2 linked regions of the Canis lupus familiaris genome follow. The protein of the gene in region 1 purifies or fractionates together with the protein of each later gene. This does not show direct contact. Links are inferred from orthologs where the notes say so. Each region holds a gene or a part of one and is shown in the gene's direction. Other genes may lie near its edges.

The links. The genes of interacting proteins can lie anywhere in the genome.
Region 2: the proteins of ASIC1 (region 1) and PICK1 purify together in Homo sapiens (affinity purification with western blotting; 3 studies listed by BioGRID and IntAct, with this or other methods). This does not show direct contact. The link is inferred for Canis lupus familiaris from reciprocal best matches to the Homo sapiens genes ASIC1 and PICK1.

Annotation. Positions count from the first base shown.
Region 1 is NC_049248.1:42,007,779-42,011,398, forward strand, and holds part of ASIC1 (acid-sensing ion channel 1), read left to right. Parts: intron 1-650; coding exon 651-801; intron 802-1,426; coding exon 1,427-1,554; intron 1,555-1,837; coding exon 1,838-1,988; intron 1,989-2,378; coding exon 2,379-2,435; intron 2,436-2,855; coding exon 2,856-3,009; intron 3,010-3,449; coding exon 3,450-3,541; intron 3,542-3,620. UniProt on the Homo sapiens protein: Forms voltage-independent, pH-gated trimeric sodium channels that act as postsynaptic excitatory receptors in the nervous system, playing a crucial role in regulating synaptic plasticity, learning, and memory.
Region 2 is NC_049231.1:27,597,741-27,601,389, reverse strand, and holds part of PICK1 (PRKCA-binding protein), read left to right. Parts: intron 1-387; coding exon 388-450; intron 451-1,147; coding exon 1,148-1,281; intron 1,282-1,678; coding exon 1,679-1,771; intron 1,772-3,529; coding exon 3,530-3,580; intron 3,581-3,649. UniProt on the Homo sapiens protein: Probable adapter protein that bind to and organize the subcellular localization of a variety of membrane proteins containing some PDZ recognition sequence.

The DNA of each region.
Region 1 (3,620 bases):
GAGGGTCCTTAGGAGGGACCAGGAGTATGGCAGTGATGGGATCCTGGTGATGGAGGTATATTTGTCAGGGTCCTCCCAGGACTGCCATTCAGATAGTTTAATTGAAAAGACTTGAACAAAGGGACTGTTTATAGAGCTGTGGGCAGAGTAAAGGAAACTGCCTGAAGGGGCCTGAGGCACTTCGTGATAGTGGGAAAATTGTCACATAAAGGCTAGAGGGGCACAGGGAAGTGGCAGGACTTTGCAGGGAGGCCTCCTGGTGGGATCTGCAGTCTCAATGGGTCTAAACTACTGCCAGAGCATTCTCAGAGGCGTGAGGGGTGGGGAAGGATGAAAACCCTGATCTCCCCTCCTTCTGCTCTCTGATCCCTCTCTGATAAGCTCCCATTGGCCACACCCACCCCGAAGCCTGTCCAAGTGGCAAAGGAGCACGGGCAGTGCACCCCACAGGGATCAGCTTTCTAGGGCGCACATCAGGGCAAAGCAAGGCAGAGAATGGGTGGGAAGGAGGACAAATGGAGAAAGTGCTGCACAGAAGGGATCGTTCCAGAAGTGTGTTGAGATTACAGCAGCTGAGGGGTCTGGGAACAGCCCTTGGTAGGTAGAGGGTGCTGGCAGGACTCTCAGGCTCTCCACTCTGCCCTCACCAGGTCTTCACACGATATGGAAAGTGCTATACATTCAACTCGGGCCGAGATGGGCGTCCACGGCTGAAGACCATGAAGGGTGGGACTGGCAATGGGCTGGAGATCATGCTGGACATCCAGCAGGATGAGTACCTGCCTGTATGGGGAGAGACTGGTATGTCACTTCTCTCAGGGGCCCCTTCCCATGGCCCTAGCCATCAGCCTCCACCAGGGGACTCCTGAGATCCATTGTGGGACCTGAGACAGGACTTGGCCCTCCTCCCTTCCTCCCAGCATCTTGCCATCTCCATCTCCGACTCTACCTGACTGCCACCCTCACAGTTCCCTGGCTCCCCCTTCCTGGCTCAGTTACTCTCCAAGGTAACCAGCCGTCGCTTTCCATCAGTGGCCGCCACTCACTCTATAAATAACTCCCTCTCTTCTTGGGCTGCCTGCCGTCAGTCTGGTCTCGAGGGACCTTGGGGCTGAGAGAGATAGGAAGAAGGGAGACAGGGAGGGGGAGAAATAGAGAGTGTCTGGGAAAGAATTTGAAACCGCAAGATGCATACCCAGAGCCCGGTAAGAAACGCATGTAGGATGTGGTGTTCATCAGGGCAGTGTGGAGCTAGTGAACCCAAAAGGAGGCTGGGAATGGGCTAGGACCCCCCAGAGACTAACCCCTCCCCCAGTCCCAGTGTGCACTGTGCTCACCCCTAGGAAAGGCAGCATGGCCCCAGCTCTGAATAAGGTTAGGGAGTCAGAAGCCCTCCCAATACACCCCCTGCTCCTCATTCCCATAGATGAGACGTCCTTCGAAGCGGGCATCAAAGTGCAGATCCACAGTCAGGATGAACCTCCCTTCATCGACCAGCTGGGCTTTGGTGTGGCCCCAGGGTTCCAGACCTTTGTGTCCTGCCAGGAGCAGCGGGTGAGAGGGCCACGGGAGGGTGGTCCCAGGGGGTGTGTATTGAGGGGTCGAGACGGAGTGGTGGGTAATCAATACAGGAGGGACAGGTGAGCTAGGGCCTGGGGGCTGATCTGACTAGTGAGAAGCATGAATGAACAGGAGTGCTCTGCAAACTCTGAGACCCTCAGAGTCTGTGGAGGGACAGGGAGCAAGGCTCCTGAGTTCTGCGTCTTGTCAGAGAAGTCCATCAAGGTGACTCGGGGAGAAGTCCCCACACCCCCCAGCTCCCCGGCTCTCCCAGCAGCTCATCTACCTGCCCCCGCCCTGGGGCACCTGCAAAGCTGTTACCATGGACTCGGATTTCTTCGACTCCTACAGCATTACTGCCTGCCGCATCGACTGTGAGACACGCTACCTGGTGGAGAACTGTAACTGCCGCATGGTGCATATGCCAGGTCAGGCCCCAAAGCTCCAAACACAATCTTGGAGCCCCTCAGCCTGCATTGCCCCTCACCAGCTCCCCATCAACCTTCTGCCAACATGGAAGCAAGATTAAATGGCTTTTCTGCACCCCAGTTCTAGCCCCATTCCATACTCACATGGCTCTTGTCCCTCTAACCTCAATTCCCACCTGAACCCATAAAAATGTGTGGGAAGGGGTCCAGGAGGGATGGACTGTGGGGTGGGTGGTGTGTGGTCACCTTCAGGACATACTGGGGGCTGGCTAGTCCTGCCTTCCCACCCACTCCCATCTTCCAGTTTCTAGGCGCTTGGTACCACCACCATCATCACCACGAGACCCCTTTAATCTCCATCCTGCACCACTGTCTTTTCTCCTCTGTTAGGGGATGCCCCATACTGCACTCCAGAACAGTACAAGGAGTGTGCGGATCCTGCTCTGGGTGAGCACCCCTGTCTTGGGGCAGTCTGGGGGAAGGAAGGAGCCACATGCATAGGGGTTTTAGGCCAAGCTCCCAGAAGCTTCCAACAACTCCCGGATCAGGCTTCGCTTGGAATCTCTTGTGTCTGACTTAAGCAAGGCTGGGAATAATATCTCTAGAGGCCCCCATGCCCTTACCCTCTCTCATTAGCACCTCAGCTAGTTGACCCTCGAGGGCCCAAATGAGATATAGGACTAAGAAATACCCATGGGGAGGCTGGGTGAGGATCAGCACAGGGCAGACACAGGGCTCGGGTAAGAACAGGTCAGAAAAAGAGAAAGGGGCCTAGGTTTCCTTCGGACAGGGCCAGGATGTTCGTGTTGGGAAGGAGCTGGCCGAAGGGCACCACTCAACTGGTGCCTCTCGCCTGGTCGGGCACAGACTTCCTGGTGGAGAAGGACCAGGAGTACTGTGTGTGTGAAATGCCCTGCAACCTGACCCGCTATGGCAAGGAGCTGTCCATGGTCAAGATCCCCAGCAAAGCGTCAGCCAAGTACCTGGCCAAGAAGTTCAACAAGTCTGAGCAGTACATAGGGTAAGGGCTCTGGCTGTGCAGGGCAGGGCCCTTGGGCTGGGACTATAGAGGGTGTGAGTGGGCTTTGAGGGGCCGGTAGACAGGAGGAGATTGAGATGAAAAGGGGAAGGCAACCAAAGTGTCTGGGATGGGCATGGGGGGCAGATCAAGCTGGAACAAACAATGGAAGCACCTCTCTTTCCTCCTTGCATCATTCTGTATCTTCATCCTCACTGCTGTAACTGGGAACAACCCCATGCTTGCCAGTGTGCAGAGCATCTTTTCATTTTTGCCATCACATTTAATCCTCATGACAGTTCTACACTGAGGATACCCCCATCAACATCTCATTTTATGGGTATGGAGACAGATTCAGAGAGGGTAACTTGCTAAGGTCACCTGGTCAGTGAGGGACAGAGATGTGACTTGAACCCAGGTCTCCTCCCCCAACCCCTTTGCAGGGAGAACATCCTGGTGCTGGACATTTTCTTTGAAGTCCTCAACTATGAGACTATTGAGCAGAAGAAGGCCTATGAAATTGCAGGGCTCCTGGGTGAGCTGCTCATGGCACTGTCCCCTTCCCATGCCATGGGCATGGTGTGACATCCTACCGCCCAAAGCAGGCTGCCTGC
Region 2 (3,649 bases), on another chromosome or scaffold:
TGAGATTCTAGGACTGTGGTCGTTAGGAATTCTTCGGAAGAAAGCCTCTTAAGACATACTTTTCCTGATTATGAGAGTAATACATATCCATAAAAATTCAAATAATAGCACATTTAAGCATGGTGGGAGCCTCTTGGAATCTGTCTCCCAAAGATGCAGCGCCTAGGAAGCCCTGGTCACCTTCTGCCCCTGCTAGGTCCTGGGTCTCTTGTCTGATGGGGGCTCCTCTTGGGTGGCACTGGGGCCGCGGCTAAGCCCTCAACCCTGGGCCCCAGTGGGGCTGTGGGAACAGTGAGGACCTCTGGGTGGGGGTGGAGGCCATGTCCTGGGGGCCCTTGTGGTCCTGCCATGTGCCTCCATCCCCCTACAGTTGGCTCTCTCCTACAGGAATGACGGAACACACCAAGAACCTCCTCCGGGCCTTTTACGAACTGTCACAGACACACCGGGGTAAGGGTGCCCCCAAACCTGTGTGACCCTGGGAAGACCGTCGCTCCCTTCTGAGCTCAGGGCTGCCCCAGGCAGTTAGGGTGTGGCCAATCTCCTCCCAGGGCCCTTCCTCACCAGGCTCAGGCAGACACCACAGCATTTGACCTCATGCCAGGTTCGGGCCGGGCCTTGTCCAGATGCTGGGAGGTGGGGCCAGCAGGGAACATCTGGACCAGCTGGTGTGTGGGGTCCAGTGTAACCCGTTCTGCCCCTTACAACGTGGAGAGGCTTCCTTATTTGTGGTCTCATTTTCTACGAGTCTGCCGGCTGGGCCAGGCAGCTAGAGTTAACCCCACTTTGCAGTGGGGAAAATGATCCCAGACCGAGGAAATGTGCACACCACTCCTGCCGGCAGCGCTGGCCTTAGACCCAGCCTCCACATCCCTGTGCTCTGCTGCCAGGCAACAGCAGCCTCTCCAACCTTGACCCAGCCTTCTTCTTCCCCCGTGGTCTGATCACTCTGGGGAATGAGGGCCGCTCTCTTGGGTGTAGACCCGGCTCTCTTGGGTGTAGACCCACCTCCTTGGGGACAGAGACTTCATACAGGCCTTCACCTTCGGCCTGCTATGCCCCTTGCCCCACTTCTCCCCAGCAAATCCCCGGCTTCTCCATGAAGGGGTCAGGTAGGGACAGTCTTCAGGGCAGACTTATCCTGCAGCCTTTGGGGACGTGTTCTCTGTGATTGGGGTGCGGGAGCCCCAGCCAGCCGCGAGTGAGGCTTTTGTGAAGTTTGCTGACGCCCACCGCAGCATCGAGAAGTTCGGCATCCGGCTGCTGAAAACCATCAAGCCGGTAGGTGGTGTTGGGCATGTGTGCATCAGCATGTGAGGGTAGAGAGGGGACAGTGTGGCATACAGAAAGTGTCCTGTACTGGAGTCAGAAAATGTAAGTGCAGGTTCTAGCGTGGTCACCTGCACGACTGACTGTGGTAAGTCACTCTGCCTCCCTGGCCTCACTCAGCATTGACCCCCAGGCTGGTTTCTTCTGCCCCTGGCTCCATCTTAGTTACAGTTTACCCTTGGCCCAGCCTGTCTTCTCACCCTTGAATGGACCGACTTGTCTGTCACTCTTTGGCTTTGACACCTGAGTCCAGTAGAAGGATTGATGGGTCAGTGCCGTTCTTTGTCACGCCAGCCAGCCCAGCCCCTGCCCCCTGGGACTAGGTGTCTGCCTCCACTTTCCCTTCCAGATGCTGACAGACCTGAATACGTACCTCAACAAAGCCATCCCAGACACTCGCCTCACCATCAAGAAGTACCTGGATGTGAAGTTTGAGTACCTGGTGAGTGGTCGCCAGCCCCCAGGGAGGGGTGAGTCTGGGTGAGTGGTCCCCGGCCCTCAGGGAGGGGTGAGTCTGGGTGAGTGGTCCCCAGCCCCCGGGGAGGGATGAGTCTGGGTGAGTGGTCCTCAGCCCCCAGGGAGGGATGAGTCTGAGTGAGTGGTCCCCAGCCCTCAGGGATGGATGAATCTGGGTGAGTGGTCCCCAGCCCCTAGGGAGGGATGAGTCTGAGTAAGTGGTTCCCAGCCCTCAGGGACGGATGAATCTGGGTGAGTGGTCCCCAGCCCCCAGGGAGGGATGAATCTGGGTGAGTGGTCCCCAGCCCCCGGGGAGGGATGAGTCTGGGTGAGTGGTCCTCAGCCCCCAGGGAGGGATGAGTCTGAGTGAGTGGTCCCCAGCCCTCAGGGATGGATGAATCTGGGTGAGTGGTCCCCAGCCCCCAGGGAGGGATGAGTCTGAGTGAGTGGTTCCCAGCCCTTAGGGACGGATGAATCTGGGTGAGTGGTCCCCAGCCCCCAGGGAGGGATGAATCTGGGTGAGTGGTCCCCAGCCCCCAGGGAGGGATGAGTCTGAGTGAGTGGTCCCCAGCCCGTAGGGAGGGATGAATCTGGGTGAGTGGTCCCTAGCCCCCGGGGATGGATGAGTCTGGGTGAGTGGTCCCCAGCCCCCAGGGAGGGATGAGTCTGGGTGAGTGGTCCCTAGCCCCCAGGGACGGATGAGTCTGGGTGAGTGGTCCCCAGCCCTGGGGGCGGGGGGAGTCTGGGTGAGTGGTCCCCAGCCCCCGGGGAGGGATGAGTCTGGTGAGTGGTCCCCAGCCCTCAGGGAGGGGTGAGTCGGGGTGAGTCTGGGTCAGTGGTCCCCAGGAGGGATGAATCTGGCATGCTAGAGAGAGAACTCACCTAGAGATTAGCCACAGGATGGTAGGCAGGAAGGGACCAGAACCTTTGTCATGTCTGATTGAGGACATGAGCCCAGGGACCTGGGAGGAACTGGGAATTGGACAGCAGCCCAGACCCTGCCCACTCAGGGAGCCTTTGGGTGCCCAGGGTAGGCAGAGTGCTTACTCTGGGCCACTCTGACCCCTTGAGATTATTTGGTCACTTTTATAGTGGGTTATAAAGTGGGTGCCAAGGGACATGATCAAGTTGGGTTTTTGTTTTGTTTTTTAAGATTTTATGTATTTATTTAGAGAGTATGTAAGTAGGAAGAGGGGCTGAGGGAGAGAATCTCAAGTAGACTCCACGCTGAGTGTGGAGCCTGATGCGGGACTGAGCTCATGAACCTGAGATCATGACCTGAGCTGAAATCAAGAGTCAGACACCCAACGGACTGAGCCACCAGGGTCTCCTGGACATTATTGAGTTTTATGTTTAAGTAAAAATTCTGATGGTCAAAGATGTTGAGGGAAGATGCTCCACCAAGCAAGCTGAGGCTCCTTTGCTGTAGGACTTCCCAAAGCCTTTGGCATCCCTGTGTGCACCATAAATCCTCAACGACCTTCCCATGCTCTTTTGACCATGGAATCCCTTTTTCCCCAGACCATCTCTCCTAACTTGAGTTTGGGAAATGCTGGGCTGTTTCTTAGGCCCTTGCCACCCTCCCACATGAGAGGCAAGTGTCAGCCTATCCTAGTTGAGGGCATGCAGGGCCCAGGAGGCCTGGCATGGCTGCGGGGTACTATGTGGGGTGGAAGTGTGGCATCAGGGTGGGCATCCAGGAGGTGGAGCCCCTCTGACACCGTGACCTCGCCGTCCCATACAGTCCTACTGCCTGAAGGTGAAGGAAATGGATGACGAGGAGTACAGCTGCATCGTGAGTTTTCAGTGGTGATTGGGGGGTGGCCCCGGTGCTGGAAGGTCTTGGAGTGTATGGACCTTCCCC